Linked DNA regions of Astyanax mexicanus. The protein of the gene in region 2 interacts with the protein of the main gene of each other region in a pairwise test. Links are inferred from orthologs where the notes say so. Each region holds a gene or a part of one and is shown on either strand. Other genes may lie near its edges. The genes, in order: cep44 and rnf8.

The links.
Region 1: the proteins of rnf8 (region 2) and cep44 interact in binary tests that used the Homo sapiens proteins (3 or more experiments, as listed by UniProt). The two-hybrid records come from large-scale screens. The link is inferred for Astyanax mexicanus from reciprocal best matches to the Homo sapiens genes RNF8 and CEP44.

Annotation. Positions count from the first base shown.
Region 1 is NC_064414.1:52,239,203-52,255,969, reverse strand, and holds the start of cep44 (centrosomal protein of 44 kDa), read right to left. Parts: upstream 6,580-16,767; 5' UTR 6,355-6,579; intron 6,252-6,354; 5' UTR 6,240-6,251; coding exon 6,151-6,239; intron 1-6,150. UniProt on the Homo sapiens protein: Centriole-enriched microtubule-binding protein involved in centriole biogenesis. In collaboration with CEP295 and POC1B, is required for the centriole-to-centrosome conversion by ensuring the formation of bona fide centriole wall.
Region 2 is NC_064408.1:85,897,900-85,914,157, reverse strand, and holds rnf8 (E3 ubiquitin-protein ligase rnf8), read left to right. Parts: upstream 1-8,998; 5' UTR 8,999-9,457; coding exon 9,458-9,580; intron 9,581-10,629; coding exon 10,630-10,758; intron 10,759-11,198; coding exon 11,199-11,852; intron 11,853-12,235; coding exon 12,236-12,298; intron 12,299-12,407; coding exon 12,408-12,497; intron 12,498-13,279; coding exon 13,280-13,387; intron 13,388-13,648; coding exon 13,649-13,853; coding exon of another isoform or gene 13,854-13,860; intron 13,861-15,537; coding exon 15,538-15,698; 3' UTR 15,699-15,856; downstream 15,857-16,258. UniProt on the Homo sapiens protein: E3 ubiquitin-protein ligase that plays a key role in DNA damage signaling via 2 distinct roles: by mediating the 'Lys-63'-linked ubiquitination of histones H2A and H2AX and promoting the recruitment of DNA repair proteins at double-strand breaks (DSBs) sites, and by catalyzing 'Lys-48'-linked ubiquitination to remove target proteins from DNA damage sites.

The DNA.
Region 1 (16,767 bases), on a different chromosome or scaffold from region 2:
TGGAGACTTCAGAAGAGGAAACTCAGAGCTCAGTAGCTCATTCACTCATAGTAAAACCAAAGAAACAAAGGAGTGAAGTTTCTGACTGATCGCTCTCTCTCTCTCTCTGACTGAACATAACCTGGAATCGGGCTCATCCGCTCTGAAAGGAGACCGCATCACACCCGCCCAGTTTAAAATGATTCTTCCGCATGCTTGGTGTAATTACCAATTCTCACCAGAGAGGGTCCTAAATCCCCCAAATCCCCAAACTTACAGACATTAGCTTTAAATAATTGGTCACTAGGAAAGTGTTGTATTGCACTGTTAATAATACAATTGATACAATGTTGGAATAATAAAAATGAAAAACACTATAACTAAAATTGTGGTTTTCTGATTGAAATCAACCTAATTTGTATTAGCTTTACTAGTTACTTTTAGGGCAGCAACGATTAGTTGATATAATCGACAATGTTGATTATAAAATTTTGTAGATTACACATTTCCTCACTAAATATCAGAACTTTGCACGTTTTAAAGGGCAATGTTCTGGATATTTTAATGGCATTTAAATCCCATGTTTAGCTGTTTCTATCATTTTAAATACCCACAGCAAGCAGAGACGAAGGGCATGGCAGAAATAATCATTGATTAATGAACTAATTGCAAAAATAATTGCCAGATAAGTCGACTACAAGAATAATCATTAGTTGCAGCCATAGTTACTTTGGTACTGTGGTTGTATATTTTTACATTACATTGCACATGCAGTACCAGTCAAAAGTCTGGACACACCCCTTCTAAATTAATATGTTTCTTCAACGTTTTTTACATTTACATTGTAAATTCAATATTGAAGACTATATTAAAGCTCTACAGGAACACATGCAGAACTATTTTGTAAACAAACAAATCAAAATATATTTTATGAGTATCAAATTTATCTTTGAGGACAGATCTGCACACTCTTGGTGAGATTTTAACCTCAGTGTCTTCATGAGGAAGAGTCACCTGGAATAGTTTTCTCAGCATTTTAAAGGAGTTCCTGGAGGTGCTGAACAGTAGTTGCTGCTTTTCCTTCACGCTGTGAAGCTCCAGCTCATCCCAATTAAATCACCTCAAATCAACATCTCGCACACTCTCTGTCTCACTCACGTTCTCTCTCTCTCTCTCTCTCTCTCTCTCTCTCTCTCGATATTATAATACAGTAAAACAAAAAGCTTTAGTCTGCCTGGCCTAAACCACACTACACTATTATTACTGCCCCCTCTCAAAAATACAGGGAACTAGCAGAATTAAAAAACAAAAAAACAAATCAGGATTATAATAATTTTTTAAGTGATTGACACCAGTAATATCAATTATCTTAATTTTGTAAATGTAACATATATATATATATATATATATATATATATATATATATATATATATATATTTTTTTTTTTTTTTTTTTAATTCCTAATAAAGCACCACAAACATGCTCACTGTTTGTTCCAAAACATACCCAGTCCTAGCGACATTATATGTTATTGTCCCATCTTGAAGTTTGGGAAAAAAAAAAAAAAAAGGTTATAAGTATTTTTTTTCAGTATGAAAAAAATTCAGCCTTAATTAGTATAATTAACATATAATATGAAAATGGTTCATCTTACATATTTGCAACCAACCCCTGCAAAAACTAAAACTGAAACAAAATTGCAATGTTATGTTTTAATGTTATGTAAAACTAATGTTTTATATGTTGGTCTTTTAAAAGTAATAAAATAGGGAAACAAAAAATTAAAGGTTGAACATATATTTTTGTTTTGTATGAAAAACAAGTGAATTTTCCTAATTGAACCATTACCTGTTAGAGGTAAGGGACACTATTGCACTAAATATTGATTATATTGATAATAATTAGCAATGGAGTTAGTAATGAAATACTCACACTGCTTGTTAGGATTTTTTTTTTTCATAATCTTTTTGATAATTAAATATGTGACGGGTCAATATGACCCGGGAACACCACTGCTGTTCCTGACAAAGGAACATAATAGGAGAGTTAATATATTTAATTTAAATTACATTAAAGCATACAAATAAAACATTGACAACATTGAATCTGCAGATTTCTGATCTGTTGGCTATTGCTCACAGTTAAATACTCATATAACAGAATCCTGTCAGACTGTACTTAGCCTCAGTCTAATGAAGGGATTTGTGTTAATATATTTATATTAGTGTTATTTTCAGCTTTACAGTAAATCTGATCCAGTCTGCAGTCTAAATGATCTGAACACTTTTCAGCTGGCTGTGAATAAACAGACCTAGACATCCCAGCATTCCTGATATCTACTGAGACCCGAGCAGGTGGTTCTGCTTACAGCAGCGCATCACTGATGAACACGAGATCAAGAGGAGCTGTCCTTCTGACTTCATGAGAGAGCAACCAGACGCAGCACAACTTCCCCGAAGAGTTTCAGCTTTTATATATTTACACCAACACATTTCTGTTCAATGCAAATATTGATGTTTTAGATTTACATTTAACTATGTCTCTGTTTAATCTATGTAGTGTATGTAAGAACAGGGCTGGATGATACGGAAAAAAAAAATCTATAATCATAATATATTTCATATCGATATCGATACAAACAGTATAAAAGCAATCCTCCCTGGTTTGTGTTTGCACACACTGATTGAGCTGCTGGATCATATGGTAAAAATATTTAATCACTATATTTAAAAGACATTTTCCTTATTTTTCAGATTTTGAGTAAAAATTTAATCTGCTGGTGTTGATCCACTGTGTTTTATTATCAAGTCTAAAGTCAGTGCAGTTTTGTTTTCCCACAAAATCTTACAGCACTTCATGCTTCCCTCTGCTACTGACAACTTTTATCGAGATGCTGATTTTATTTTTTCAGCAGGACTTGGCACACTGCCCACACTGCAGAAATTAACAATTGGTCTTATATAACATAAAAATTTTCTAAAAGACACTAATTTTTGGGTTAATCATTGACAATAAAAGTAAAAACAATATATATTTTGAACTGAATTACTGAAATAGTTACTTTTCAATTATATTAATTTTATTTTGAGATGAACTAGTATACATGTTTAATATTGGACAACGACACTGGCTTAAAATTCCCCCCACATCAGTGCATCCCAAGCATACATCCCTCTAGCCCACACCTGGCATTAGACATTAGTATGGTGCCAACAGATCCATGTATATAGTAGTTAAATGCATTTTGAAGAGCCACTAAACCCTAAACCATATTTTTTTAAGTAATAGCTGAAATGTGTTAATAAAACACACCAGTCCTGCTTAAAATCTTTATAAACATTTCCTAAACTTAAAAAAACACTTTATTATGGTGATTTCTGGCTCTTTAGCACCCTCTCAGGTTAAACTGTGCTATAGTTACAGTTTCTGTGTACTTTCGTAGGTAGACAAATCACATGTCTGCGTCTAACTGCTATCAGAGGCACACTGCTGCTGCTGTAGCTCAGCCAATCAGCTCTCCCTCCTGCACCGTCTCTAAACCCATACATCACCCACCCCTCCCCCTTTTTAAATTTGAGCTGAGTTTAGTTCCCCTTTAATAGGGGTGTCCACAAACATTTGGCTGTATAGTGAAAGTTAAAGGTTTTTTGCATGTAGTCCATTAAGTCGATTATCCTGCAGACGAACGCAGCAGCAGATCAGATGTACTTCAGTAATTTACAGTAACAGTAAATCTGCTCTGTGTAATTACAGTGGGAATACGGGAATATGAGTCAGCCCTGCGTCCAGTCCGAGCTTCTGTTCAGCTCCAAACCGCCGCTGCCATAGTGTTTGTTGTAAATCTGAGCTGGATTTCAGGCATTAGTGCCGGTTGGATGGAGTTTCTGGGGAATCACAATTCGAGACGTCTATGTTGGAAATTCAAGTATTCCATCATTTCATTTCCATCCTGCAAATCAAGCAGCCATGTGGACGGCAGCAGAATGCAGGAATCACATAATCTATAATACAATTCAGCTCGTTTTCCAATCAGTTTAATTTGATCCAGTCTAGTGTTATGCCAAATTCAGCACCCCTGCCAGGAAAAGCACCCCCTATTTCTAAATAATAATAAAGCAATTATCTCTGCATTTTTTGTCAAAAAAAAAAAAAAAAAAAAAAACGCATATGCGCTGCTGAGAGGGGTGCTTTTCACGGTGGGGCTGCAGATTTAGGCACTACTATGGTGCTAAATTTAGCACTCCCGCCAAATAAAGCACCCTCTCTCAGGGAGAGGCTGCAGGTGGCATGTATTTATTTTATTTATTTTTTTTATTTTTTTTTTACAAGTCATCGTAGCTTACAACAGTATCTTGGGTGTTTCCATTTTCCAAATAAAGTTAAAGCTAAGAAGACATGAGTGCGCACTCCTGAGAGGGGGTGCTTTTCCTGGCGGGGGTGCTGAATTCGGCACAACACTAGACTGGCTCCTATTGGACTGATTGGAAAACGAGCTGAGTTGTGTTAGATTGGTTTCATTCCTGCATTCTGCTGCTGTCCACATGGCTACTGAATTCAGCACAACACCGGGCAGGGCTGCAGGATTAATCTCATTATATCATCATTACAGTCTGAGTTTCTGTGATGAACACAGTCTTACAGGCTGGACGACAGAACGGATAATATTACTCAACAAGTGCAGCATCAGAATGATGCAATCACACTGTTGGGAACAGAACATTAGAAGCAGAACATGTGCTATAAACTCAATTACAAAACACACACAGACTGATCAGTTAAAAACTCACTGCTTTCTTTCATTCTGCTGCATTTTAGAGCATTGCTGTGAGAATCTCTTGTGGAGATTTCCATCTCCACAACTCCGCCCTTTCTTAAATATTAGATGAAGCTCCATCATTTCAGAAAACAAAGCTCTACCACTGTCCCACAGCTCAAAACTGAGGGCTTTATACCCCCTATTCTATTGCAAAAACGTCTCTACAGGGAGTACCAGTACACTTAATTCGGATAGTGCAAACAAATCCTGTTAAATTGGATGACATGCATAAAAAAAAAAAAGTATATATTTTTTTTTTTGTAAAATGTCTTGTAATTTTTCTATGTGATGAAAAAGGATACATATTGTGTATTGTACAAATGCCTTTACTTGTCATGATGTAGTATTCATAATATAACTTTTGGCCATATCACCCATCTCTGTACACATTTTTGTATTGTTTGTGTATTTATTGTATAATTGTTTTAGTTTGCAGTTTATATGCATGCACTAAATATTCTGCAATATTTTTTGCTGCATTATATTATTTTATGCTATATTATTTATTTTGCCACATTATGAATATACTGTTATACTATTATACTATATTCCTGAAATGAATGAATTAGTTTAGTTTTCCTATATCGCCAAGTATATCGTTATCGCAAAAATACCCTGAAATATCGTGATATTATTTTAGAGCCATATCGTCCACCCCTAGTACACACAAACAAAAAAATTGGACCCACCTTAAATTCAGTACTTTTTCACTAATTTCATGTTCTATATTGTAGATTAATATTAAGTAATCTAAACTATGAAGAAAACCATATGTAATTATTAAATAAAACAAAACAAATAAGTGTTAAACAAACCAGAATATGTTTATTTATATATATATATATATATATATATATATATATATATATATATATATATATATATATATATATATTGTACCTTTTGCTAAAATGTCAGTGCACATTTTGGCTAAATTTACTTAGTCAGCTTCATGAGGTAGAGTCACCTAGAATTCAGGTTTTCAGTTAACAGCTGTGCTGAACTCATCAAGAGTTAATTACTTGAATTTCTTGTCTCTTAATAAAGTGTTTGAGAGCATCAGTTGTAAAGTAGTGAAACGGTAGAGTTACAGGTATACAGTGAATAGCTCTGTTTAAGTAATGCTCTAATCCATATTATGGCAAAATGGCAAAAGAAAATAAATGGTGGAACTGGCACTCATTAGGACTGCCCCAGGAAAGAAAGAGCAAGAGAGTTCAGAAAAAGTGGTAATTTGGTTTGTTTAACACTTTTAAAGATTACTTATGTTTTATCATAGTCTGAATGACTTTAGTATTCATTTACAATGTAGGAAAAAACATTAAAACATATTAAAACAGGCATAATAAATTACCTGTTATAATCCACTTCTCTGGGGTATTTGAGATATCTGAGGGAGGTCTGCAGCTTCTTCAGGCTTCCCTTCAGATCACCTGTAGCCATTTTTCAGTCTACCTGCAGTTTAACAGTGAAATAAAGCGATTAACTAATGAAAAACGTTATTAAACACAAATATACAGCTTTTTTATATTAATATTAGAGCATTTCCGCTCCTTACCTTTGCAAAACAAGGCGTTGCAGCTTCAGTGTATGTATACAATCCACTTTTTGCGGTTGTTTGAGCCGTTTTAAAGAGTTTTAACGAGTTTTGAAGTGTTTTAACGGGTTTAAACTCGATAAATAGACGTTTATTTTGTTTGTATTTTGTTTCTAGGCGCGCTCACAGCGGATTTAAAACTGTTTAGCTATCATTTCACAGCCGCACATTCATCCTCCTAGCTGAAAAAAGTGGACCGGATTTTAGAAACGGATTTTAGAGTTCTTAATCACAAATATACTATAGATATATGCATATAAATCATACGATTATTTCAATATGATATCAAAAAAGTATCTTTTTATTTATCTGCCTCTCTGTATATCGAGCTATCTAGTTAACTAGTTACAGTTATAAAAATCCATGCCAGGATTTGGTTCAATCCGCCTGGGCGGCTCTTCTGAAGCTGGGCTTCAGCAGAGCCGTCCAGGCGGATGAAACGAAATCCTGGCATGGATTTTTACATCCTGGATCTGAATTACATTTTTTTTTTTATAAATTAGTTTAGACATAGTTTCTTCTCATTCTTAAATACTTTTCAATATATATCACTTAATTTTAAGACGACAAGAGAGATATTATTATAACGAAAATCAAAGAAAGGACAAACAAACAAAAAAATATAATTATTTATTCATTTATATATTACTTCTTCGCAAAATGCATAGGGTGCAGAAATATAGCTTGGAAAATAAATAAATAAAAAATATAATAATAAATAATAAATTCAGAATGGGCGTGTTTTCACCAGGAGTCCTTCATCTTATATACTTTTTAGCCGATCAAACAAAGTCAGATAGAAATATCTATCTATCAGAATATCAATATCCAAGATTCGTTTATTCAGCAAAAAATAACAAAAAATAACATTTTCTCACTGTGCTTTTTTTTTTTTGCATTGCACTACTAATGTAGCCATGTCTATAGTTAGATATACTGTCAAACTTTATTTATGAGCAACCCTGAAAAGATAAGAAAAAATATATTCAAAAAAACAAAGTATTATGTGTTCTGTCAAATTTTATGTGTAGTTTATTAACGTTTTAAATAAATGTATTTAATCCCTACACTTTTTTAAGAGAAAATGTGATATAAGTCAGTTACAAAATGCATGTGGCTGAAATTTTACCAAAATACAGGACAGATACTCGTCATATGAAGTGACCAGTTGATAGTTACAGACTCTTAAAGAAATCTTCTAATCTTCCAGCTAATTCACTTTTCTATTTTTATTTTTTATATATATATATATATAATTTATTGGCCACTTTGTGAGATTTGCTTCTCAGTTACTTCTTTTGAATTGTAATATATTTTTAAATATTTGTATATATGTTTTACATTATTTATGATGTATTTGATTGTAAATGCATTTAACATTTTAATTAAAAATGAAAATAATAATAAATATAAATAATATAAATTATTATCGAAAGTGCTGTTCTTTAGCACGCCCTGCCAAAACGTGCTGATCCGCGTGCGTCACTTCCACCAACAACAAGAAACGTCAAACGTGACGACGACACTCGTTTTTACACTGCATTATATTTGTCATTTTATTATTTTATTTTTAACAAATACTTTATATTACTGATGGAAAAAAACGACACATGGCTGTTTACCAGCACTTTAAAGATAAAAAAAATAATAAAATAAATAAAAATAAGTAAGGAGAAAGAGAAAGTGGGCGGGGTTTATGATGGGAGGGGCGGGGCTGAGCACTGAGAGACTCTGAGCGGTGGAGGAGATTATAAACCTGACCGCGGATTCAGCCTGCTCGGGTTTTGAGCCGTTTTTGGAGCTTCTGGGGAAGAAATGCGCGCTTTATCTGAGCTTGGGGGCTGAAGGACATTTCCACGCATCGGCTGCTGTGAACTGTTACGAATTTCGTCGCGGCGGCGGTGAAAATAAAGCCATAAAAACACAGGTGGGTGGGTTCAGCTACTGGAGCTATGACAATTTTAAATGCCAGCTAAATCAGCCAATAGCAGAGCTCGCTGGTTTGATTGATGTGCGCTGTAGCCAATCGTCGGGGAGTAAGGGCAGGACTTGTTCGGCAATCTAACGTGATGAGGGATGGCGATTAGTCAGTACTTTGAAACATAAACAGAACTAAAGTGTGAATGTTTATATGCTAAATTTTGGGTTTAAACGCGAGTTTAAAGTTAAAATTAAGTGTTTTAACGTGAAATTGAATTAAAAACATGTAGTTTAAAAGCTGTCAGTGAACTTACGTAATGATGAGCAGCCAGGCTGGTAGGCAAATTTAGGGAAAACACATTATAAAGCCTGAATAAGTTTAATTAACTTACATTTAGTCTAATAATTTGAGAAAAAATGTTGCCTTAGCGTATTTTGAGTCATTTTTACTAAAAACATAAGTTAATTAAGCTTAATGATTTAAGTTATAGTGTGTAAATTTAAAGTTGAATCAATTGTTGTTAATTTTATAATTGAACCAATATTATTATAATTAAAGAAGTATTGTGTGTAAAATAATTGATTTTAAGTCATTTTGTAGCTTTTCTCTTGTTTTTGTTTTAAACATAACAGAACTTTATATGACAGGACTAAAAGTTAATTATAGAACAATAATAATACATAATATATAAGAATATGATTTAATTCATTGTATTCAAGGCATCTCAAAATAGTAGATATTTAAAAAATAAGAAATCAAATAAAGGCCATAATTACAAAAGTACAAAAAATAACTAATATGACTAAGATATCAGGACAAACACTGAAAAAGTGGAAGTCACTGTAAAAATAATTTATTTCCAATCATTTTCGAACAAATCTTTTCATCATTCATCATAAATGTGGACAACCCTCATAATTATTCTCATATTATGATTATTATGATTATTGTTACTTTTTATTATTATTAGTTTTTATTGTATTTATTTATTTTTATTCTGTTTTTTTGTCATATCTTCAAGAAGTTATAATATGAATAGAAATATTGTAATATTATTTCATGACCATATCGCTCACCCCTAGAGTCAGAAACTATGGGAAACAACCAGTATATAAATACAAAGTGCCAGAAGCCAATAGAAACCGACTAGTTCATTTAAATCATAGATCCTATTCATTTATTTTTTACATGTGACCAAAATGTTTTGAATTGTTTGGAAATTAAATGAAATTAAGTTTTATAAAAAAGATGTAATTTTGAATTGTGAAATTTAGGGTACTGCTGCTAGAAGTGAGTAATGGAGTGCTGTTGGTGTTTTCTGGGTCTCTATAGATGTACACAGACAGGTAAAAGTAGAGGTACAGGTAAGCAGCATGTGCCTAAACTCACCTGAGTGACTGAGTGGAAAATGCTGGAGCTGAGTCAGTATTTACACTCAACACCAAACACTGAACTGTGGAAGAGTGTGTGTGTGATTGTTCACAAAGCCTCAATCAGTTGTTTTCTGTGTGAAGTGTCTAACAGCACAGATAGTAAATTATATAATATTTATTTATACAATATGTCAGAATAGAATTTAGTCATAAACACTACCTAAAGGTACCTACAAATATAAAATGCTGCACAGAACCAGTCACAGACCTGATATTACATAATAGATTTTTGTAAATATCAATAAGTAAAATAAAAAAGGCCCAGTTCAAGACAATAATATATCCTGGGACTTTTCTTTTAACCATAACAGAACTTTAAATGATAGTGCTTATATTATAGAAAAAGTATTACATATAATATATAAAATATAACTTACTTTCTTATGCTCAAGGCACCTTCAAAATCTCATATATAACAAGTATATCATATTTTTTTTGGACAAATTTACTGATGATCAGTGATGTTTTGGAGAGACATGTCATCTGCTGGTGTTGATCCACTGTGTTTTATTATCAAGTCTAAAGTCAGTGCAGTTTTGTTTTCCCACAAAATCTTACAGCACTTCGTGCTTCCCTCTGCTACTGACAACCAAAGAGCACTTACTCTCTTAATACCTCTAACACACTAACTACTTCTAACCTCATTTCCTTCTTCCTCTCCTTCACTCCTCTGTCCTATTATTCCCCTTTGTCCTCCTTTTATCCCTATCCAAAGATGTTTTTCCTTTAAACTTATTTTACATTGTACTTGACTATTGTAAGTCGCTTTGGACAAAAGCGTCTGCCAAATGTAATGTAATGTAATGTAATGTAATGTAACCTTTATGGAGATGCGGATTTTATTTTCCAGCAGGACTTGGCACACTGCCCACACTGCCTAAAGTACCAATTGGTCTTATATAATATTAAAATTTTCTGAGACACTGATTTTTGGGTTTTCATTGGCTGTAAACCATAATCATTAACAATAAAATAAATAAACTCTTGAAATAGATCACTCTCTGTTTAATACATCTATATAATATATGAGTTTCACATTTTCAACTGAATTACTGAAAAAAAGTTACTTTTTTTTTTTTTAATGCACCTGTATGTTGGATATGCTGTAGATTAATGAACTGCTCTTTCGCTTGAGTTATGGATGAGAGGAGCCGGTCACACTGTACCGGCTTGTTTCCTCCACACACCACAGAGAATGTGGTGGAGCGGGTTAAATACCATCTCACCCAAACACAGCTCACTACTCACTCTCACTCTTACCCTCACCAGATTACAGAAAAACATTAGAGAAATCATGAATTAAGAAGTCATGAATAGAGCAACAGATCCCCAAAATCCCTTATGTTCCATATATATTAAATACAAAAGTTTTAGTCCTCAGTAGGGGTGGGCGATATGGCTGTAAAATAATATCACGATATTTCAGGGTATTTTTGCGATAACAATATACTTGGCGATATAGAAAAAACAGAAAAAGAATTAATTAATTTCAGGAATATAGTATAATAGTATAACAGCATAATCATAATGTGGCAAAATAAATAATATTGCATAAAATAATAAAATTCAGCAAATAATATTGCAGAATATTTAGTGCATGCATATAAACTGCAAACTAAAACAATTATACAATAAATACTCCTAAAGCTTCACAGTAAATAATAGACTACTTTTAAGACAGAACATCTATATTATCAGGATATGGATTTTTAATATCACGATATTTCTGTGTCACGATATATTGTATGCGATATAATATTGCCCACCCCTAGTCCTCAGTAGTAATGGGACAAAATACTACAATATTACAATACATATATTTACGTATACTTTTTGTTTTTGAAACATTATCAATATGTGGCTTTAAATATGGATACTTTTTTATTGAAACATATGTACTCTAAATTCTAAAAGAAATTGATAAACAAGTCAGAATATGTTTTATATTTTAGATTCGTCAAAGTAGCACCTCTTGCTTAAATTAGACAGCTTTACACATCTTGGCTGGATTTTCCCAGTTAGTTTTATGAGGTAGAGTCTCCTGGAATTCAGGCTTTCAGTTAACAGCTGTGCTGAACTCATCAAGAGTTAATTACTTGAATTTCTTGTCTCTTAATAAAGTGTTTGAGAGCATCAGTTAAAGTAAAGTAGTGAAGAGGTAGAGTTACAGGTATACAGTGAATAGTGAATATTTGAGTAATGTTCTAATCCAGATTATGAGAAGCAACAACTACTCAGTTGTTGTTTACTAAGTAAAGAAAAAATAATACTTTAAGAAAAAATGAAGATTAGTCAAACATTTTAAAAACATTGGAAGTATCCTGAAGTGTCACCGCAAAGACCATCATAAACATGATGTTGAAACTGGCTCTCATCAGGACCAACCCAGGGAAGGAAGAGCAAGAGTTTCCTCTGTTGTACAGGATAAGTTCATCAGAGTTTCCAGCCTCAGAAACCACAAGTTAAAAAACAGCTCCCCAGATAAGAGCATCTAAAAGCTTCTTCACAGAGTATTTTTTTTTGTTTGTTTAACACTTTTAAGTTACTACACGATTCCATATGTGTTCCTTCACAGTCTGGATCACTTCACTATTCATTTACTATGTGGGGGGAAAATTTACATACTGAGGGAGAAGGTGTTAAACCAATATGAATAGAGTATCACAGTATTGTGATATCTAGGGCTGCATAATATATCGTTTTAGCATTGTCATCGCAATGTGCGCATGCGCAGTAGTCACATTGCAGGACGTTCAAGATTACTTAAGGCAATTAAAACGAACACGTCATGTTGTAAAGTTTTTATTTCTTCACACAAGAAGTAGATACACAGCGCTGTCTCTGTGTCCGTGTGAGTGACAGGCTGCAGCTGCCTGAGAAGCAAGAGGGGGGGGCAGGAGTAAACATGAGGTAACAGCCCTCCACATGGTTGGGCACTGTGCACCTCAGTCCAGCACAGTTTTACAGCTCAGATATTTCCAGTTACAGCTGAATTCACGCTTTTAATCCTAGAAAAACAATCTTATTTACATTTTAAAAATCCATTTAAATGCCTGATTAAAGGGGCGATTACTGTTGTTTTGCTGTTTTACTCGGGTTTTGAGAGCTCGGCGCTGACTCAGCTCTTGATCGGTCCGGACCCGAGACAGCACGTGGGTGGGGGCGGGGCTGGTAATGTCATGGGCCCTGCATTGTTTAATATCGCGATATATATTGTCAAAAAAATTTGCAATGTAAAATTTTTCCAATTAGGTTAGGTTAGTTTATTTGTACCCAAATGTAAATTTGATTTACAGTATGCGAAGCAGCATCTTGTTACAAAAAGAACATTTACCAAAGCAAACACAAACATACAGTAAGCAACATATATATAAATACAATTCCTTAAGTCTCTATGTCCTATTCATCCTATTTGCTTGAGTTATGGCATCTTGGTACTCTTAATCTCTGTCCAGATGGAAGCAACCTAAATTCACTGTCCCCCAAAATTACATCAGTTACCTGCTTTAACTGTCTGCCATACAAGGTTTCCAAGTTGAGTAACGGCTTACCAATCAACTTACTTGCCCATTTTACAATCTAATTCAGGCCATTCCTCTTTTTAAAGGCCAAATTACCAAACCATGCAACCAGGAAGAAAGCTTAAACTATTGTGCAGACCTAGTGATATTGTTGTTAAGATATCACAATGCAATAAGAATATAGCAATATATTGTGATATGTTTCTCAAAAGTGTACAATAATGTGTTTTTATTGATAATTTAGATGTAAAGACTAAAATCTCCTAAAAGTCGCTAGAAGTTGCTAAATGACGTCATCGTATAATTTGCATAATACATGTTTTTGAAGCTGTAAAGGATTAACATTGTGAGAGAGAAAAACGTGAGTAAAAACACTCTAAATATGTTAGAAATGATACAATTAACTTCAACAAATGAACAACTTCTGTTGCTTTTTAAATAGGCAGTCATGTCTCAAAATAACTTCATTTTTATGTAAATTACATAAATCATTCTTTTGCCGTGTTGTTAAATGTTATTATAAGAGCAGTTTTTTATTTTATATATATATATATTTTTTTTGCTTTCTTAAGTTTTCTTTATTTTCAAACCTATTATAGACAAATTGTTGAATAGCTTTTTACAAAGCGGGGCTAAGTTCAGGGGAGCGTCGGTGGTGAAAATTAAAACTCAGAGAAAATCGATTTTCATGAAAACACATCGTCCTTAACTGTAAATTTGAATTAATCGATAAAATCGATTAATCGCCCAGCTCTATGTCAGACAGTCTGTTCACGAACATTAGGACACTGAACACAGTGTATTTCACAGTGAAATTCCTGCACAGAGCTGTATCTGCTGCTGCTGCTGCACGGTTAAGTTGAGCTCAGGACGGTTCAGCAAAGCCATTAATGCAGAATAAACACGGCGGATTCTGAGCCGGGGTGAGAGACGCAGCTCTCTGAGGAATTTAGATAAAGGCTGATAAAGTTCTTAATGCATATCACTGAGAGAGGATTACTGCCACTGCGCTCAGGACAGGCTTCAGTCCTCATAACTGACGGCTGAACCGCCGGCTCCGTGCTGCCAGTAACAGGCAGGGATATACGGGTTTAGCCTCAGTGCCGGCACGTCTGAGGAGGGAGGGGTTTAGATGCTATAAATGGGAGCACTAATGTACGCTGCTGTATAAGAGCCAGGTTATGAAGATTATTACTCTTATTTTATTGTATGTGAACAGTAGTCAGAACTGTGCCAGTTCGTATGTATAAAGTAGGCATGCATTGAAATTAAATTTTTAGCCAGGAAAGTGAAAAAAATTAAACACTTTTAAACACAGTTATAACCTATTCGTTTCTTTCTTTCTTTCTTTTTTTTTTTTTTTTTTTTAGAATTTTTTTTTTTTTTTCCCCATTTTCTCCCTAACTTACGAGGCTGATTACCCAACCGACTCATTAGGACTCCACCTATCACTAGTGGTGCCCCAACAGGAGGGTAAACTCTTTTTGTATTGTTGCTGATGCAGCATTGCTGAGTAGCATCATCGCTAACGCTCGGAGGAAAGCGCAGTGACTCGGTTCTGATACATCAGCTCACAGACGCAGCCTTGTGCTGATCCACATCTCCCTAGGAGTGATGAGGGGAAAGAAAGAGCGCGAGCTACTGTACCAACCCAGCTAGAGAGCAAGACCAATTGTGCTCTCTCAGGGCTTTGGTAGCTGTAAGAGCAATACAAAAAAGAAAAATATCAATACTAAAAGAAGTAAATACGAATAAACAAACGAATAGCATTAATAATAAAAAAGGACACTTTTTTGACGTCGTATAAATTCCCTGTCAGTATAATTATTACAAAAATCTTCCTCACAGTAGAAGATATAGTGAAATATTCTAGAATCTTATAAAAATAACATCCGATATTATACTTTGTAATGTTTAGGTTAATATATACAGCTCTAGATAAAATTAAGAGAGCACTTCAGTTTCTGAATCAGTTTCTCTGATTTTGCTATTTATAGCTATATGTTTGAGTAAAATTAACATTGTTGTTTTATTCTATAAACTACAGATGGCATTTCTCTTAAATTCCAAATAAAAATATTGTAATTTAGAGCATTTATTTGCAGAAAAGATGCAGAGCTTTCAGACCTCCAATAATGCGAATAAAACAAGTTCATATTCATAAAGTTTTAAGAGTTCAGAAATCAATATTTGGTGGAATAATCTTGGTTTTTTATCACAGTTTTCATGCATCTTGGCATCATGTTCTCCTCCACCAGTCTTACACACTGCTTTTGGATATCTTTATGCTGCTTTACTCCTGGTGCAAAAATTCAAGCAGTTCAGTTTGGTTTGATGGCTTGTGATCATCCATCTTCCTCTTGATTATATTCTAGAATTTCCTGCAAAATTAGTCTAGGGCTCTAAATTATAAGCTGTAAAGTGCAGTAAAACATGCATTAGCTCAGGAGCCTCACCAATAGCAATAGGAAGCACAAATGAAGAGAATGAACGTTAAGAGAATAAATGCAGTGTTTAAACTCTGAAGGAGTTGCTTCAGGCCAGTAAAAGCAGGTCAGGAGTTTTTGGTGGAGAGTTAAGTTTCAGGGTTTGAATTGAGCGAGAGCCGTGTCGGGACTGGTAATGGGGTCAGCCGGTTCCCCCTGCTGTTCTGCCCCATACAACTCCATAATACTTCCAGATTGAGTTCATTCACATGGTCAAGAGACAGATTTGGCACTGACTGAGATTCATAAGTAAAGCCTTTTGTGCAGAACATCAAAGGGAAGGCGGGTGAAACATAAAACCCTGTAGTACTGACTTTTTTTATACTGAGCGGTTCAAAAGCATGCCAGACCTGACCTCTGTGGCATTTAGTATTATGAAATTAGGTAAATCAGACAGGACTATGACGTCACAAAGCAGCATTTTAATAATTCAGTAATGACAGGTCTGAAAGCTCTGCATCTTTTTTTTGTTATTTCAGCCATTTCTCATTTTCTGCAAATAAATGCTCTAAATGACAATATTTTTATTTGGAATTTGGGAGAAATGTTGTCTGAAGTTTATAAAATAAAACCACAATGTTAAGTTTACTCTAGGCCCGTCACAATAATTGCAATATTGATTTATCGTACAATAAATGAACATGACCCAAATAATTTTTGATAATCGTGATTTCGTCTATTGTGTTTATTTGTACAGGGGTTGGACAATGAAACTGAAACACCTGTCATTTTAGTGTGGGAGGTTTCATGGCTAAATTGGAGCAGCCTGGTGTTCAGTCTTCATTAATTGTACATTGCACCAGTAAGAGCAGAGTGTGAAGGTTCAATTAGCAGGGTAAGAGCACAGTTCTGCTCTAAATATTGCAATGCACACAACATTATGGGTGACATACCAGAGTTCAAAAGAGGACAAATTGTTGGTGCACGTCTTGCTGGCGCATCTGTGACCAAGACAGCAAGTCTTTGTGATGCATCAAGAGCCACGGTATCCAGGGTAATGTCAGCATACCACC
Region 2 (16,258 bases):
ACATTTGTGTTTTAAAACTGATCTGCCTCCTCTATATGTGTGCTATATATGTATAGCATCAGCAGACTTAAACTGTTTGAAAGGCAGAGACAAAAAATAGCATCTACTGCAAAACATGGAGCCCTACAACTCACAAAATGCCATAATGCACCATGTATGACTTAATACTCCATTGGCGGGGCACTTCTCCACTACAAAGGCACCTAATTGGGCACTTGTTCATGTTTTTTCATCTGTAGGAGAACCCTATTCCCATTCTTTCTACTGGAAAGGGTACCCACTGGTAGAGGTGGCATAAATGGCACCTACCAAGGGCACCCTTATTTTAATTGAAAGGCAGAAGTCCCGTAAGTCTGCTCTCTCTTGTTTTATGATAAGGTCACAGTTACAAAACTAAACCAAACTTGCGAGAGTTGCGAGGGGGTTAAGATTTCTCTTGGTCTTTCAGATCTTATCTTGACCTCCACAGTTGCCCTGAACTGCTGCTTCTAAACCACATGCTTGCACACTGTAGGAAATGCAAGCTAAAACAAATAGACATAGATTTTCATTGCCTTGTTTGCATGAATTACTTTCATTTTCAAATCTTTAGACAGTTGGTGAGAGCAGAGAATGTTAAATAAATGTTAGTATACAGTTCTTTGACTAAAGTTAGAACATTTAAACTCACTGTTTTTATTTAAAGTGACATTATTATTATTAGCCTGATTTGCTAATAATACAACTGTTTTGTTATATCTAGCTTATAGAATCAGAAATGATCACAAATATGTCTGCAAATAAATTAGACAACCAAACTGAAACTTGGATGCTGACCAAAAAGCTAAGTCTCACTAGGGTTTTCACCTTTGTCAACATGCATCCTCCACAATGCTTCCTCCCTCTTTCTCTCTCTCTCTCTTTCTCTCTCTCTCTCTCTCTCTCTCTCTATCTCTCTCTCAATCTCTCTCTCAATCTCTCTCTCAATCTCTCTCTCTCTCTTTCTCTAATAAAAATGAACTGTTCTCCAAAATGCATAAAGTTAAAAGCCATGTACTGATCATGTTTTGGAATTTATAACACACAAAAACACAGGATATACATATTTAGAGCAAAACAGAAAAAAGGTTTCCATGGATCTCTAATGTCAGTGTATTTTACCATGTACATGACAATGGATTCATACAAGATCTCTCATAAGCAACCGACATTTGTTTTAGTTATAACAGTGTAATGAAGCCTGATTTAAGAAATATAATATATATAGCACAGAACTAATGTTGCATATGCTAACATGCCTGATATTTACTGGCCCTTCTGTTACTTCTGTGACATTTTCTTTATAAAGTATCTAAAGTATCTGATCTAATGTCAACTTGCAATTACTGACATGAACTACTCATAAATGTTACAGTGGGCAGTGTTGGCTCAGGGGCTCGAACACCTGGGTTATTAATGATTAATTAAGGATTGATTGTTGGTTCAGTACCCAGATTTAACAGGCTGCCACTGTTAAACTGTGCCACCTTAAGCAGGGCCCGTAACCCTCACTACTCAACATACTCTGCAGTAATGGCTGCCCACCACTCCAGGAACTTTTTTTAAGGTGAATAAAGGGAAGAAAAAAATATTTATAAAGTATTCATATATGTTGCATTTGTTTATGAGGTGGAGGATCACTCAGCTGGTAAGGTAATACAGTGCTCACTGTATTACTGTGTGTTATGTGTATGTGTATGAGTGAGTCTTCATTGAAAAATGGGTTAAAAGCGAAAGCCATATTTCTTCTGTGTTTTCAACACAAGTTGGATCAATAGGGTTGTCTCAGTCTGGGTGTATCTATTATGAGGCCTATATGTGGATAGCCTTGGATAACAATATATGAAATAAATTCAAATGAAAGTGTGCAAAATTAGCATTTAGATGAATAAAAGCCATAATAATCACTTTAAAAACTCTTCAAACAGAATCTATTCTGTTTTTACAGTGCAGGCTCACACATTGCAAAGGCCAACCTATTGCAAAGAGAACTTACAGTGGTCGTGTTAAGTACTTGTGGTAACACTTGTGCTGTGCTATAACAGGAAAACATTAAACCACAGTCAATGCTGCAGGCCTGAAGAAATTGTAACAAAACTTTAAAAAGTTGCATTTAAGCACCTTAAATATAGAAATGGCAATATTCACACTAACTGCTCCCACTCTGAGCAGGAGTTGTATATGTCGTCCCCCACTGCAGCGTGGGGAGAGTGTTTTTGCTAAACAGAAATGTGGGAGAGGTGAGAAAACCACACAAGCACAGAGATGCAGAGTGAAATGTAAAAGTGTGTATGTTTTATTATGTGTGTTTTCAGGACAGAATCTCTTGCGTGTGTGTGCGTGTGTGGGGCAGGTGCTCTAGTTTCTAGTTTCAAGTGTTGCACAGAAACTGTGCAATGAAATTCTTGATGAAGAGCTCTGCAACCTAGCCACAACTCACTGTATATATACAAATAAATGATTGGACAGTGACATTTGGCATTTTAGCTGTTTACCAAAACATGTTTAAGATACCGTTATATAATCAGTATAGTCTGAAAGTGCTTAAATGTGAGGGTATGTTATTGTAATCACAGGAAGGGTTTAGGAATTGCAGCTTTTTTATATGTAGCCTTTTTAAGGGACCATAGATAAGGGTAAATGGACAATTATTTCAAAAGCTATTTCATGGACTGCATTGGCTATTACCTTGTGAATCCACCATCAATTAAGCAAGTAATTCTTAACTGAATTGTAGTTAATTCCTGGTGTGACATATGTTGCTATTAACTCACAACATCCAGCTTCCATGCCCAATCCAGACCTCAGACAGTCATTTCCTGCAAGTGATTCTCAACAAAGTATTAAAAATGAACATTTTATTAATGGTAGTTAATTAGTTAAGTTAACTACGTTAATTCATCCAATTATTTTTGAGTCCCTGAAATGAAGAGGCTTTGTAGAAAGAAAAAATAATAATTCAAATTAAAATTCTAAACTTTAACTGCATCTCGGTTGCTTTATTTTATATCCAGTCTGATGGCATGCAGTGCCTAAATCATTAAGATTTGGTCACTTTCCAAATATGTATGAGCCTAGCGGTAAACACAGGTTGTGTCTGAAACATAAATGTTGTGATTCAGACGAGATTATGAGGCAGGAAAGCACCCAGTCATGCAACCTAGTTGTGAAATCTAGTTTTCTGTTTTATTGGGTGAAAATGCTTACAGCTAATAACAACACTGTTAAACACTCATATCTAGCAGTGAGCTGTCCATACCCTGGCAATACCAGGACGTATTGGTCCTTTTTGATTCAGAACACATTTAAAAGCCACATTGGGATCTAGACTGCACTGGCAATCATGCTCATCATTATACTGGTTTTCTCCAGTAAAGACTGAGACTGACGCTTTTATGTGCCACCCAGAGCTTATTTTTGGCTCCAGTTGAGCAGTACCAGAGTGGTGTGCGAGAAACAGTGAGGGCTGACCCTTAAACCTTGCGTATTCACTACCACAATATATTGTATATGATTATTTTAGGAAAAGTTTTAAGGAAAGAAAGGAAGCGTTTTGAAAAATGTTTAGCACCTCAGGAGATGAGGTCTAAAATACCCAGCAAAAATCACTCATGTCAATATTGTGCCCAATACCCCAAACCAAGCCAAACAGAGTCTGCCTATAGTTTTGAGTATAATATAGCAATTGGCCCACACCGCTTTCGCCAAAACCCTGGTTGCCAAGTATATTATGGGAATTGGCCCACACCATCTCCTTTTGCACACCATAAACTACATTCAGTTCAATTCCACACTGCTGATGCCAGTCATTACCTAAGACTCTCAGAATCTTAACCTAGGGCTATGGCTTGTAAGCAGTCGTTCTAAGGAAAAAGCAAACTGTAACCAAAGCATTTATAGGTTGTGTCTGAAACTTACAAATACAAAAATGTACAAAATTATGAAACTTTGGGGCTGTGAGTTTTGGAATTTAATTCAATTAATGAATTTGAATTGGTTCCACGCTATAGGATGTTAAATTGATCACACTGAATTTGATTTACAGAAAATGGAATTCAACTAATTGCAATTAAGAGAATTAATTTTTATCACATATCGGTGACTGTGATCCATTTAACATACATTTTTCTTCCAAATAAAAGCACAGACACGAACATTAAGCATATATTCCCTCAATGTTTAATAATCAGCAATATTTTAATTCCAAAATATCAATTCAAGAATTTAATTGAAATGGAATTTAGAGGTCACTCTCAATTCAATTTTTATTCTTGTACAACCTACCCATACAGGATTCTAATGAAAAAAGGCACCCAGTCATCTCTGGGTAAAAATGATCATTTCTGCTGACGACACAGCTAAACATTCATATCTAGCAGTTGGTGTTGAGCTACCTTGACAATGTCACAACATATTTTGCCTACATCACTACACTACCATCTGAGACAGCATGGACAGCAAGACATCAAATCAGCTAGCTAACTTCAGTTCCAGAGACAACCATAAATACTGAGACTTAAACCTTGTCATAATAAACAGCAGCCATGTGCTCCTCTAGACAGCTGCCCAGCAATCTAAGAGTTCAAATATTCACTGTTCACTGATATTTTTGAAGTAGAAGTAGACTATATAAAGATAGCAAAGTGTTTTCAGGCAGCTGGTTACTCAGGACAAGAAGCAACACCACAATTTTCACCATAATGGAATGTGACCTCTGTCTCTGACTCATCCATGCAGTGAACACACAGCACACAGTGATATAGTGAGCACAGGGCCCGACATTGGGTAAAATGTAAGAAAAGGCAGTTAGCAAGAATATTGGAGATTGAGTTGATTAAAGCTGATTGAATTCAATTGAATAATAACTTTAAATTACATATAAGTTTGTTTTTGTTGTAGAAAAAAGATACAGATATTAGTACTGCATTATTAGTAATTATTGTGTTTATTTTGACCAGAGTTTATTTTAAAATATGGGGAAGTGGGTTTGTCACTTTTTTACTGACAGCTTCTACTCCTCTGGGAAGGCTTAACACACACGTGCAAAATTAAACAGCACTTTTTATGCACTGATGCTTTTTTACGTTAGTAATCTAATGCTTCAGGTTGATTATTAGCTATGGTTTAAACTGATTAAATTGGAGTGATAAAGTCTAGCTCTGGTCCTGTGGGTCGGTCTATGTGCTTATGTTAAAGGCAAACTGCTAGACTAGTACTGTCTGTATGTGTTACAAATAATTAATTTTACAGAATGCCAGATTCTGTAATGCCACTGGCCCATAGATGGTGCATGGCAGAGTACCTGTAAATGTGGACCAGAAGCTATAACCCTATTGTATTTTGCATATATATATGCTGAGACAGATGATTTCCCACTGCTGATACATCCTGTAAATGTGTTTGCATGTGGCCATCCAGTCAGCCATGAATACTGGGTTGTTCTTTTAAAGTAAAAAGCAGGTTCAGGTTCAGGTGAGAGAATAATTTAACTGTTTTATTGAGAGTGGGGTTCTAACACGCATATGTCCATGCCTGCAGGTATTATTTGATGTGTAGCATATCATTCATAAGCGTGAGTTCCCTCTAAGTCTATGAATAGGCCTACAGAGGTGTCAATGCCCTTAAGGGGACATCCAATTTGTTCACACTTACTATTCTTCTTAACCATGCGTCCTCCACGTATTACTCATAGTTGAGTCCTGCTATTTAAGTCTCCATGAGTAAAAAAAAAAACAACAACCAATACATAGCCAGTGCATTTTTTAAACGCTCACTCACAGTATCACACCTCAGACAGGGCTTAGTTTGCTAACAAGAACCACCCCTTTGTTAACCTTCCATTTTTTCTTTTTCTTCATTTTTTATATTAATGTAATGTTATATCACTTATAATTTAGATGGTTTAAAGCAGCTCAGAGACAAATTGAAAGACATGCATTTCTGGACAAGCTGTGAGATTCAGAACCTTCACTGTAAGTGAAATAACCATATGGAGTGAGGCATTAGAGTAATATTACAGGATTTTACATGAATATGTATTGGGGTGTGGATATTGGGTTGTTTGGTTGTTGGGTGGACAGATCCCCTAAAATTCACTATTACAAATCAGTTGAGTTTCACAGTGATTTTGAAGATGCAAGTTTAGTGTAAACATATTTATTATTTTTTTTAAGTAATTTCCGTAAATACCAGTATTTTATGATCCAAACAAATTCCAATTGATATTATGTAAATTAATTGTTATGCCTGAGTACTCCATAAAGGTCTTCATGAGTTCTTCTCCAGTGATTCTACAATTTGTAAAATACAATGTCCCTTATATACAGATCAAACCTTGTTCTACATCCATTATCCATTTTTTCACTGACCACGTTACATTACTTTGTTGTTCTATTATTAAAAGCAGTTATTATTTGGGTGGTCATTCCATCACAGTAGGAGTTTTTAAACACTGTGTCCTCTCACTGTCCATTCTATTAGACACTCCTACCTCATCTCATCTCATCTCATCTGTTACTACACAATTTGTGGTGGTCATCCTCTAGTCCATTATCGATGCTCACTGCTGGACTGAGAATATTCTCAGTCCAGAAGTGACACTGAGGTGTGTAAAAACTCCAGCAGCACTGCTGTGTCTGATCCACTTGTGTAATGAAAATCATTGCATGGACTAAGGAACACTTACAGAAATCATTGTGTGTAAACACAGTCCGATGTGAAATTCAGAAATGCAAGTGAAAGCTGTTTTAATGCTTTGGCCCAAAGGAGACAGCATAAAAGACTTCAAACTGGATGTAAATGATGAATGTTTAACAATTCTGAATGGTCTGATCCAACATGTTAAAAGAGTACTGATAGTGCTTTAATGTGGCAGTTCTTTTTGTAACTAGAAAATTCAAAAATAATAAGCTATAATGTTGTAAATGTACATATTGTTTTTGGCCAGAAATATTTTTACATAGTTTAATGCCAATTGTGACTCCTCAGTTTGTCTCCTTGCATTCACACGATCAATAGCTGAGATTATACACTCATACCAGCACCAAACACACAGCCCAGTGTGAACACTATCATATCAGCATCACTGATGTGCTAAACAATGATTCACAACGCCAACAATTTTCAGACAGCAGTGGTCCTGTGGTTACAAACTGAACAAATTATAAAGAAGTAGAAGAAGCTCATAAAATGCCGCTTAATGAGCTTCAGCCTGAAGCTGTATCAGTATGTGTAATGTGAAGCTGTTTGTCTGGTGAGTGAAGGTCAGAGTAGGTGTTTCTATCCTGGTGGTCACTGTGTGGAAGCACAAGAAAGGTGTTTCTAATAAAGTGGCCAGTGACAGAAAGCACTAGGGTTGCCACCCGTCCCATAAAATATGGAATCATACTTTATTTGGGAAATAAATATTGCATCCCGTATTGAATCAATTTGTAACATTAAATGTCCCATATACACAGATCAAACCTTGTTCTACATCCATTATCTTCACTGACCATGTTACATTATAATTGATCTATAATTACATACTGTATTTCTTATGTTTATCTGTTCGCCCTGTTCTTTAATAGTTCCTTTCACACAGCAGTTATTATTTGGGTGGTCATTCCTTCACAGGTCATTCCATAAATGTACAATCCACGTGTCTGTCACACACAGATCAACACTAAAGCCCTCCTCCCTCCGCTCCTCTGTGTGCTGCTGCACTGGTTAACTACAGATGTGTTATCTAAAAACAACTGTATTTATCTGTACAAAAAAATATTTCTTAGATTTAAAAAAATTGTACAGATTTCTGTGTATTTTGTGTCAAAATGGTTATATTTTTGAGGAATACAATGTCCCGTTATCATTACATAAAATATTATAATAAGTGGTTTACTAAAAACAACAGCATAAAACATACCACTGCTGCGGGTGCCCCGTCTTACAGGTGTTGGGCCTGTGGTGGATATGGCTCAAAGAAGCAATGGTGGGCGCCCCTTATTTTAAATTCTGAAAGGTGGCAACCCTAGAAAGCACAGAACAGGTATAGCCAGTAAATAAAAACAAGAAATATGTTTCTAATAAAATAGCCAATGACAGAAAGCGAAAGGTGAAAACAACAAAGGTGTTTCTGTTAAAGTGGCCAGAGAGTGAAAACAAGAAAGGTGTTTCTAATAAAAAGTCTTCAGTGAGTAAAAGCACACGGAAGGTGTTTCTAAAGTGGTCAATAAACTGAAGCACATGGTAGAGTGTTCTAGTCAGTGAATAGGAGTACAAGACAGGTAGTTCTAGTAAAGTGAATGGTAAGTGTATGATAACACGGGAAGCTCAGTTGATCCGATTTAAACTGTAGATTCTGACGCCATCTAGTGGTGCAGTAGAGCGTGTGGTTGTGTTGCTGAATCAGAACTGAAGCTCTGTGAGCTGCACATGTTTTTCTGCTCAAATAAACTTGATCTAAATGACTAGTAAAAAAGTTACTGAAAAATAATTCAGGCATTCCTTTTATTCATTTGGCTTTTTTTTCCTGTTCAATCTGTCATCTTGGGACAAACATCTTGTTAAATGTTCATAATATTAATTTCACCTAATATTTTATTATATTTTGTCTCTGTACTTGAGTGAGTTGGAGCTTAAGCTGTCTACCATTTTGTGTTAAAATATCGAGGCAATTAAAATTTTAGAAAATTTTAGAAAAGCAAAATATATATTTGAAACAGAATGTTCACCCTGCAGCTTGCCATAACAGGGTGCTTTAGTCTAAAGTATTATAAACATGAGAAATATTTAAATTAATTAAAAATCTCAAGACATTTTGTGATCATTATGAGACGTTTACAGTATTCAGATTAGGAATCACATAAACACAATTGCTGATCAGAAAGGCCAGGAATGAGTTAAAGTAAAAACAGATGTGTTCTGTGGACCTTAGAGAGAGGGGGGCAGAGTCAGGAGAACTGCAGACTATATAGGGGACCCTTAAATAATAGGTTGAACTTTTATTTTGGAATTGAGCGCGCCATGAAAAATCCCTCTCGTTGTTGTCGGATCTGTTGTCACATAGTAGCTGCTGGTGTTGTCTTACCTCGCGCCTTTAGTCTGAAATTCATCTGTACCACAGGGGCTGATCTGCTGCTCTGTGTAGTTTGTGTGGAGAAGCTGTAGTTTTGTGTAGTTTAGTGATTGTTGTTGTTGATTAATTCGGTTTGTATCGGTTGTGTATGTTGTGTGATTTACTCTGTTGTTTTTTATGTGCTTTAATGTAGGGGGTTGTGTAGTAGTATAATGTTGTGTAATTTGTTAGTGAGGAGTTTAAGGTAGTTTGCACTAGTCGCGGGTCTTGGGTTAGCTGGGATCTGCTGTCAGCTGCAGGGTTTGTGGTGAAGATGGCAGCAGCAGCAGCAGATCTCGCTGTCTCAGAGTCTCAGCTGTGATCCCGCTACACTGTGAGAGAATTATGGAGACGGTGGGTGAAGATCAGAAGCGGCCTGAGGAAGGAGACCATCAAGATGATAAAGTATGGTGTTTAAAACGAGTCGGCAAAGACAGCGGCTGGTTACGGCTAACCGAAGACACTGAGGTAACGGTACTGGATGAAGCTAAGCTAACCTGTAGCTAAGCTGAGCTAAGATAGCTAGCTGTTTTTCCTGTGTGTTTCAGCTAGGCTAGGTTAACCAACCCTACAAATTGCCACGTAGCCTATAATGTCCCGTTTTATCCAAACTGATTTAACCTCAAACTCTGAAAAAACACGGGACACTACAGTAAAAACGGCTAGGGCGAGAGTTTGAGGTGCAGTTTTCTAACGCTTTTATAGTAAACAAGGCTAATGCTAATGCTAACTCTGAGCAGCGTTGTGACGCTCACTGAAGGCTAGCTACGCTAAGCTAAGTTACCTAACCTACAAGAGGAGACTTAAAGCTTCAGAATTCCCTTATTATTTCTGTCAGTGTTTTGTCTGTGTAGGTGTGGGAGGTTAGGAAAGTGTAACATTTAAAAATTAATGACATAAGAGTTCTTTACAGGTTTCTGACAGAAGCAAATGTCCCTCTACAGAGATTTCCTCTGGCAGCTTCTCTATAGGAAATATTGTGCAATCTCGATTAACCCATTTTGAAAATTGCATTAAAGTAGATATTCAATTAATCAAGTTAATTTACCTTTCTGCCCTCATAGGTTAATATATAGTTCCAGCATAAAAAGTGCCAGCGTAGGGTGTTTTTTTTTTTTTCTTTCTTTTTTTGTAGACATTTTCTTCTGTTGCAATGAAAGACTGTATTCAGTGGAAGTATTTGTAAAAAAAAAAAAAAAAAAAGTGTTAACAGCAATGCTAATACTCTATAATATGGGTTACAGGTAACAGTAAAAAGCATTGATAAGTAATGTCTCAACAAATTATTGACACTTTGTTAATTATTGACACATTTTAATGCTTAAGAATTTAGAAGTAATAATGGAAAGGGACATTATTTAAGCACACCTTAACTAGTGTCAATTAGTAATTTGGTGGAACATGGTCTTTGTGTATATACTGGTAATTATTTTGTTAAATCCTGTTACTGCAATCCCTTAATTTTGTTTTTGTTGTTTTTTTTTTTTGTTTTTTTTTTCCCTTTTTCTTAAACCCAGGTTACCATTGGTCGTGGCCTGAATGTCACTCATCAGATCCTGTCAGTGAGTTGTCCGTTGATGATCTCCAGGAATCACTGTATGCTAAAGCAAAAGGAGGATGGGCAGTGGACAGTTACTGACAATGAGGTACACTACCGTACCTATCAATTTTGTGCCAAAACCCTTTTGAACTCTTAATCTTTTCCTGAATTTATAATACTGTCATTGTGGTGGTGATCATTATAATTTTCCCCCAATTAAAATAACTCAGATTTCTGATCACTATGCACTAGAATGTGGGGGGAAATTGTACTAATCAATAATGTCCTTCTTCCACCATCACATCAGTCATGAAAGAGAAGCAAACACTCAGCTATCTCAAAGACCATCCCAATACTGTGTGTTCACATACAACAATAGAGAGTGATAGCTTTGAATAAAATAAGATTTATAAGAGAATATGTTAAATTATAGTGATGTCTGAGATTTAATGGTGCATGGAATCGTTTGCTAAAAAGGATTGTAATCACGTTGACATCTGAGATTTACACCCTCTAAATCTTCTGTAATTCTTACTGCTGTTTCAGAGCATGAATGGAGTGTGGGTAAATGGAGTTCGCATTTCTGCTCGGAAACCCTACACCCTACAGCAAGATGATGTTGTGAGGTTCGGTGTCCCTTTGGATAGCAATCCGGTGGAATTTGAGTACGTCCTTATTCACCAAAGTCTTAGCAAAATCAAAGATTTCTTGACTAAAGCTGTTGTTGCCGAAGCTGGACCAAATGCTTCGGCCCTTAAACCCAAAAAGTCAAAGCGCAAGTTTGGTACGGATGAAGCAGAACCAGGTACAACTCTGGATTCCAGGTGCAAGCTTTATCGCAGTTCTGCAACCGACAAAGCTAGTGCTCAGCCCTGTCCAACAGATATACCTGCCTGCAGGTGGCCTGATGACCCACCTGGAAGCTCTGCTGACTGCAGCAACAGCAGCCAGCAGCTGGCTACACTACGGCGTTACAATAACAACCTGCGAGCGCTGAGGGATAGGATGGGGGCCACTCAGAAACAAGCTGCAGAGTTAGAGGGGCAGGAAAACACAAGTCCTGAGCAGCAAAGAAAAATGTTGGAGCTGCAGGAACAGATGGAGGTTTTACAAGGGCAGCTGAACTCCCAGCACGAAATGGCCCTGCAGCGTGTGAATATGCTGGAGAAATCTGTCTGTGAGGAGGAAAGGAGGCTGGAGGTGAGGCACTCACAATGTATCATTTGTTCATTGTTATCACCTTAGTCCTTTGGATTTTCTCACATTCAGATTCAAATTGAATGTCTCCTGCTATAGAACAGCAGGAAGATAAATAACATACTAAATAAAAAGACAAAAATAACACAAACTAAAGCATTAAAAACTACATAAAACTGTCATGTAAAATTTGTCCTTTAGCCAGTCACAATGTTGTTTCAGTTTTCTATTGTCCTGTCTACCAATTATTATTTTAATCAGGGCTATGTATATCCAATAATATGAAAAAACAATGTGAAAGCATGTGCTGGGGCTTGCTTTGATACCAATAGAGTGTTTTTTTGTTGTTGTTGTTGTTGTTTTTCAAAAAACATTCTTTATTCTAGGTGACGAAAGCTCAGCAGAAGGAAGATGGCCTAAAGAAACAACTGGAGGAGGCTTTGAAAGAGGTAGGAGATGAAACAGCTCTGTAACCCTACATACTAACCCTTACATGTAGCAGTCATTTCAGCATTTATATCGTATCTGTTTATTTATTTTTTATTTTTTAAATTGCAGCACCGAAAAGTGATTGAAGAGCTTCAACATGCAAGACAAGGTTTTAAGGAGGTTCTTCAGGCCAAGGATAAAGAGTTAGAGGTTACCAAGGTGATTCCTCTGAGATGTAGAATCTGATTACATTTACACCAAAACTTTTCAACTTGTTTTCCTCTCACATTTGATTCAGCAGGAGTCCTAGTGATACTTACTATTTACTAGCAGATTAATTGGAATTTAACTAGGTAGAAACTAATGGACAGAGAGCCCGTATCATATGCCAAAATTTCATTAGACATTTTGGCAGAATAGACATTTTGGCACAATTTGATAAGCACAATAATCTGATTTTATTAATTTACTCCAATTGCTCAGATTATATTAAGGCAAATATGGTGGATTAAGAAAACGTGATAAAGAGGTAGTTCTAGTAATCCGATTTTTTTTGTATAACGTACCCGTACTCTGATTTTTTTTTGCTGTTCTCAGTACACGCATTAACATGAACACTGGATAGGACAGATGCACATTCAAAACTAGCTTGTCTCCTCCTTTGCAGCAAAAGGGGCAATTTTGTGTATTATTCAAAATCATAAAAAGGGGGCCCGTCTTCACAAAAAGCTGCAGCAGGATGTTTTTTGTAAGCCTTTTCCATTTTCTGATTATTCAAATCCAGGTAAATGATCTGATCAGATTACTGAAAAAATCAGTTTTTCTATGGTTATCAGATTACTATGTGAACGCACCTTTTTTTGTGTCAGAAAAATCACAATACTGTTTCTGTATTAAAACAGCCATACTGTACAGCTATTATGACAAATTATGGTTTAAAATAACATTTCTATTTATAATGAATTTAGAAATTTATTTTCACTGTACTTTCTTTCATGCAGGAGGAGAAGGAGAAAGCACGAGCCCAGAAAGAGGAGGTTGTTACACAGATGACTGAAGTGCTGGAAAATGAACTGCAGTGCATCATCTGCTCTGAGCTTTTTATTGAGGTATGGCCTTCATGTGGCACTGAGCGTGCTTCGCAGGACTTCTGCAACACGAGTTGGCCACCTGTGTGGATCTATTGAACTTTTGTTTGTTTTTATGCTATACATAACTTGTAAAGCTCTACAGCTGTTTAACTGATTACTTAAATCAGTCATTGATTGTTACATGGTAACTTGGAGTCTATGATTTCCCTAGAAAGCTTGATTGTTTTTGCAGTGAATGACTGTCAATGATTGTGTCTGTATTCTTATCATATGTCTCAGGCTGTGACGCTGAACTGTGCACACAGTTTCTGTCTTCACTGTATCTCAGACTGGCGGAGACGAAAGGACGAGTGTCCGATCTGCAGGCAGGCGATCCTCTCCCAGACCCGCTCTCTGGTGCTAGACAACTGCATCGATCGCATGGTGGAGAACCTTAGTGCTGAGATGAGGGAGAGGAGAGTGGCACTAATTAGGGAGAGGAAAGGTGAGAGGTGCGTTCTCACCTTGCATTTCTGTAGCAAGTGCTACAGGTGCATCTCAAAAAAATGAAATACTGTTGAAAGTTCAATTATTTGAATAATTTTATTAAAAAGCAAAGCTCTATTATATAGATTTATTACACACAGATTGGTCTATTTTAAGCATTTATGCCTTTTTATTGTTGATTATGGTTTACAGACAATGAAAACCCAAAAGTCAGTATCTCAGTAAATTAGAATGTTTTATAAGACGTATTGGTACTTTTGGCAGTGTGTGCAGTGTGCTAAGTCCTCCTGGAAAATTACATCTGCATCACAATAAAGCATGCCAGCCCAGAGAAGCGTAAAGTGCTCAACTGCTTTGTGGTAGGTGGCTGAGCTGACTTGATGTAATACAGTGGACCAACACCAGAAGATGACCCGATGACCCACACTGCCAACCGTTGGTCTTGTATAATATCAAAATTTCTGAGAAACTGACTTTTGGCTTTTCAACTTTTCAATTATGATTATTATGTTTTTTAGATGCACCTTTAAATCATTTCCATTTGCTGTAAGAGATTGATGCTGAATGCACCACATAGACAATGACTTCCCATTACATGTGAGCCTTTTAAGATTCATAGCTAGCCAAAACTGTTATTGCATATAAATATGATTGACATTCCAGCATATAGAAGGTTCGTTACACTTTCCTGTTTAAGGTGTGGAAATTATTATGGTAGACTAGCGCATTTCAGTCTCTTGCCAAGCCTTGGCCCAGATTTCTATAACTCTCTGCTGGAACAGTGTTTACTGTAGTACTAGGTCATCTATTTATTATTCATCATGGTACAAATAGACATCAATTATAATAGTTAACATCATATTAATATAAGTGCCATTTATTCTCTAAAGGTTCTTGATGTTCGAATATCTACTTCAGTTTCTGTCTCATTATTGCTGTTCGATATTGAATATTTGTTTTTTATCATGAATAGTCTTTGATCAAGATAACTGCCTGAACTTCACCTCCTAAAATGTGTCGAAATTCATTATTGCACTAATCTGGAGATTAGTGCAATAATGCACTAATGCACTTTAACAGTGTTAAAATTAATGTTAATTACATGTTTAAATAAAACAAAGCCCTTTTGTTTGACCACAAAACTATTTTTTTTTTTTCTGAAAACAATTAAAAAGGTTTTTTGAAGAAATCCTAATATACTTAATACTTTTCTGTTCAACTTGAACATAAACAAGAAGAAATACATTGACATGCCAAAAGGCATGGTACAGAATTTAGCGTACTGGTTTGAATTGTAATTTCCAATGGAAACTAAAAAAGCAGCACTCACCTGGAGGATATGCGTGTGGGGGTCTCCTGTACTTGAATGTTGATGTGACTTCTGATTAGCTTATCTATTCACACTAGCATTTCTAGCAAGATGAAACCAATCATTATTACCCACTGTGTTGTCCATTGTGTGGGGTAATGCCTTCTATGACGTATTCTCTGTACACGTGTGACACTTATAATACACAGAACTTTGGAAAGGTGAAGTCCCATCTATCTGGAACCCGCTATCCGGCCTCATTAAAACTCTAATAATTCACACCGCCTTGCATGAGCACACTGACCTGTGTTCAACCTCACTCACAACTTATACAGGTGCTGGACTGAACCATGATATGTGTTTGTCTACTCAGGTCAGAGCAAAGCTCCTGTGGCAGTGGTAGTTATCCAGGACGACAGCAGCAGCAGCAGCGACAATGACTCTTCAGTTTACTTATCCACAGAGGGCTACCTGATCAACCCCAGGATACCATACTGCGTCGACACCAGTGACTCGTCTTCATGGAGTGATTAAAACCAATAACAGTGTTCCTAGTGAAACACTCGCTCACTTGAAGAATGTGAAGTGTACAGATCATATTTGTGTTTTTTTGTTTCTTATATGATTGTAGATCAATGTACCATATTTGTTTTGTTTCCTTATATAAATAAAATAGGTTTATTTGTTTCGCATTTGCTGTACTTTTGATTTTAGACATGTAGATAGCATCACTGTCCCATCAGTACTTTGAAACTTGATTATCTTTTATAGTATTACAGATTCATGTGCTCTTTATTGTTTTCAAAATTTGTGTTTTTGAGTGAACCAGGAGAAAAATTTTTAGAATGACATGGAGTAAAATAATTTGTATGATGAATAAGAAACTACTGTCTCAAAGCAAAGTTTTGTTAGGACCAGTGACAAGGGATAGATGTATCATGATCAGCCTCTCATATACAGCGTATTGCTACTGTGTTGCTTCAAATAGTTGTTTTTATTGCCTGCAAGCACAGGTTAATATTGCATGTGTAACTTTGAACACAAGGGGGCAGCAGCCTAATGGTATCATTTATTTATGCCTAGTTCGAAAGTGT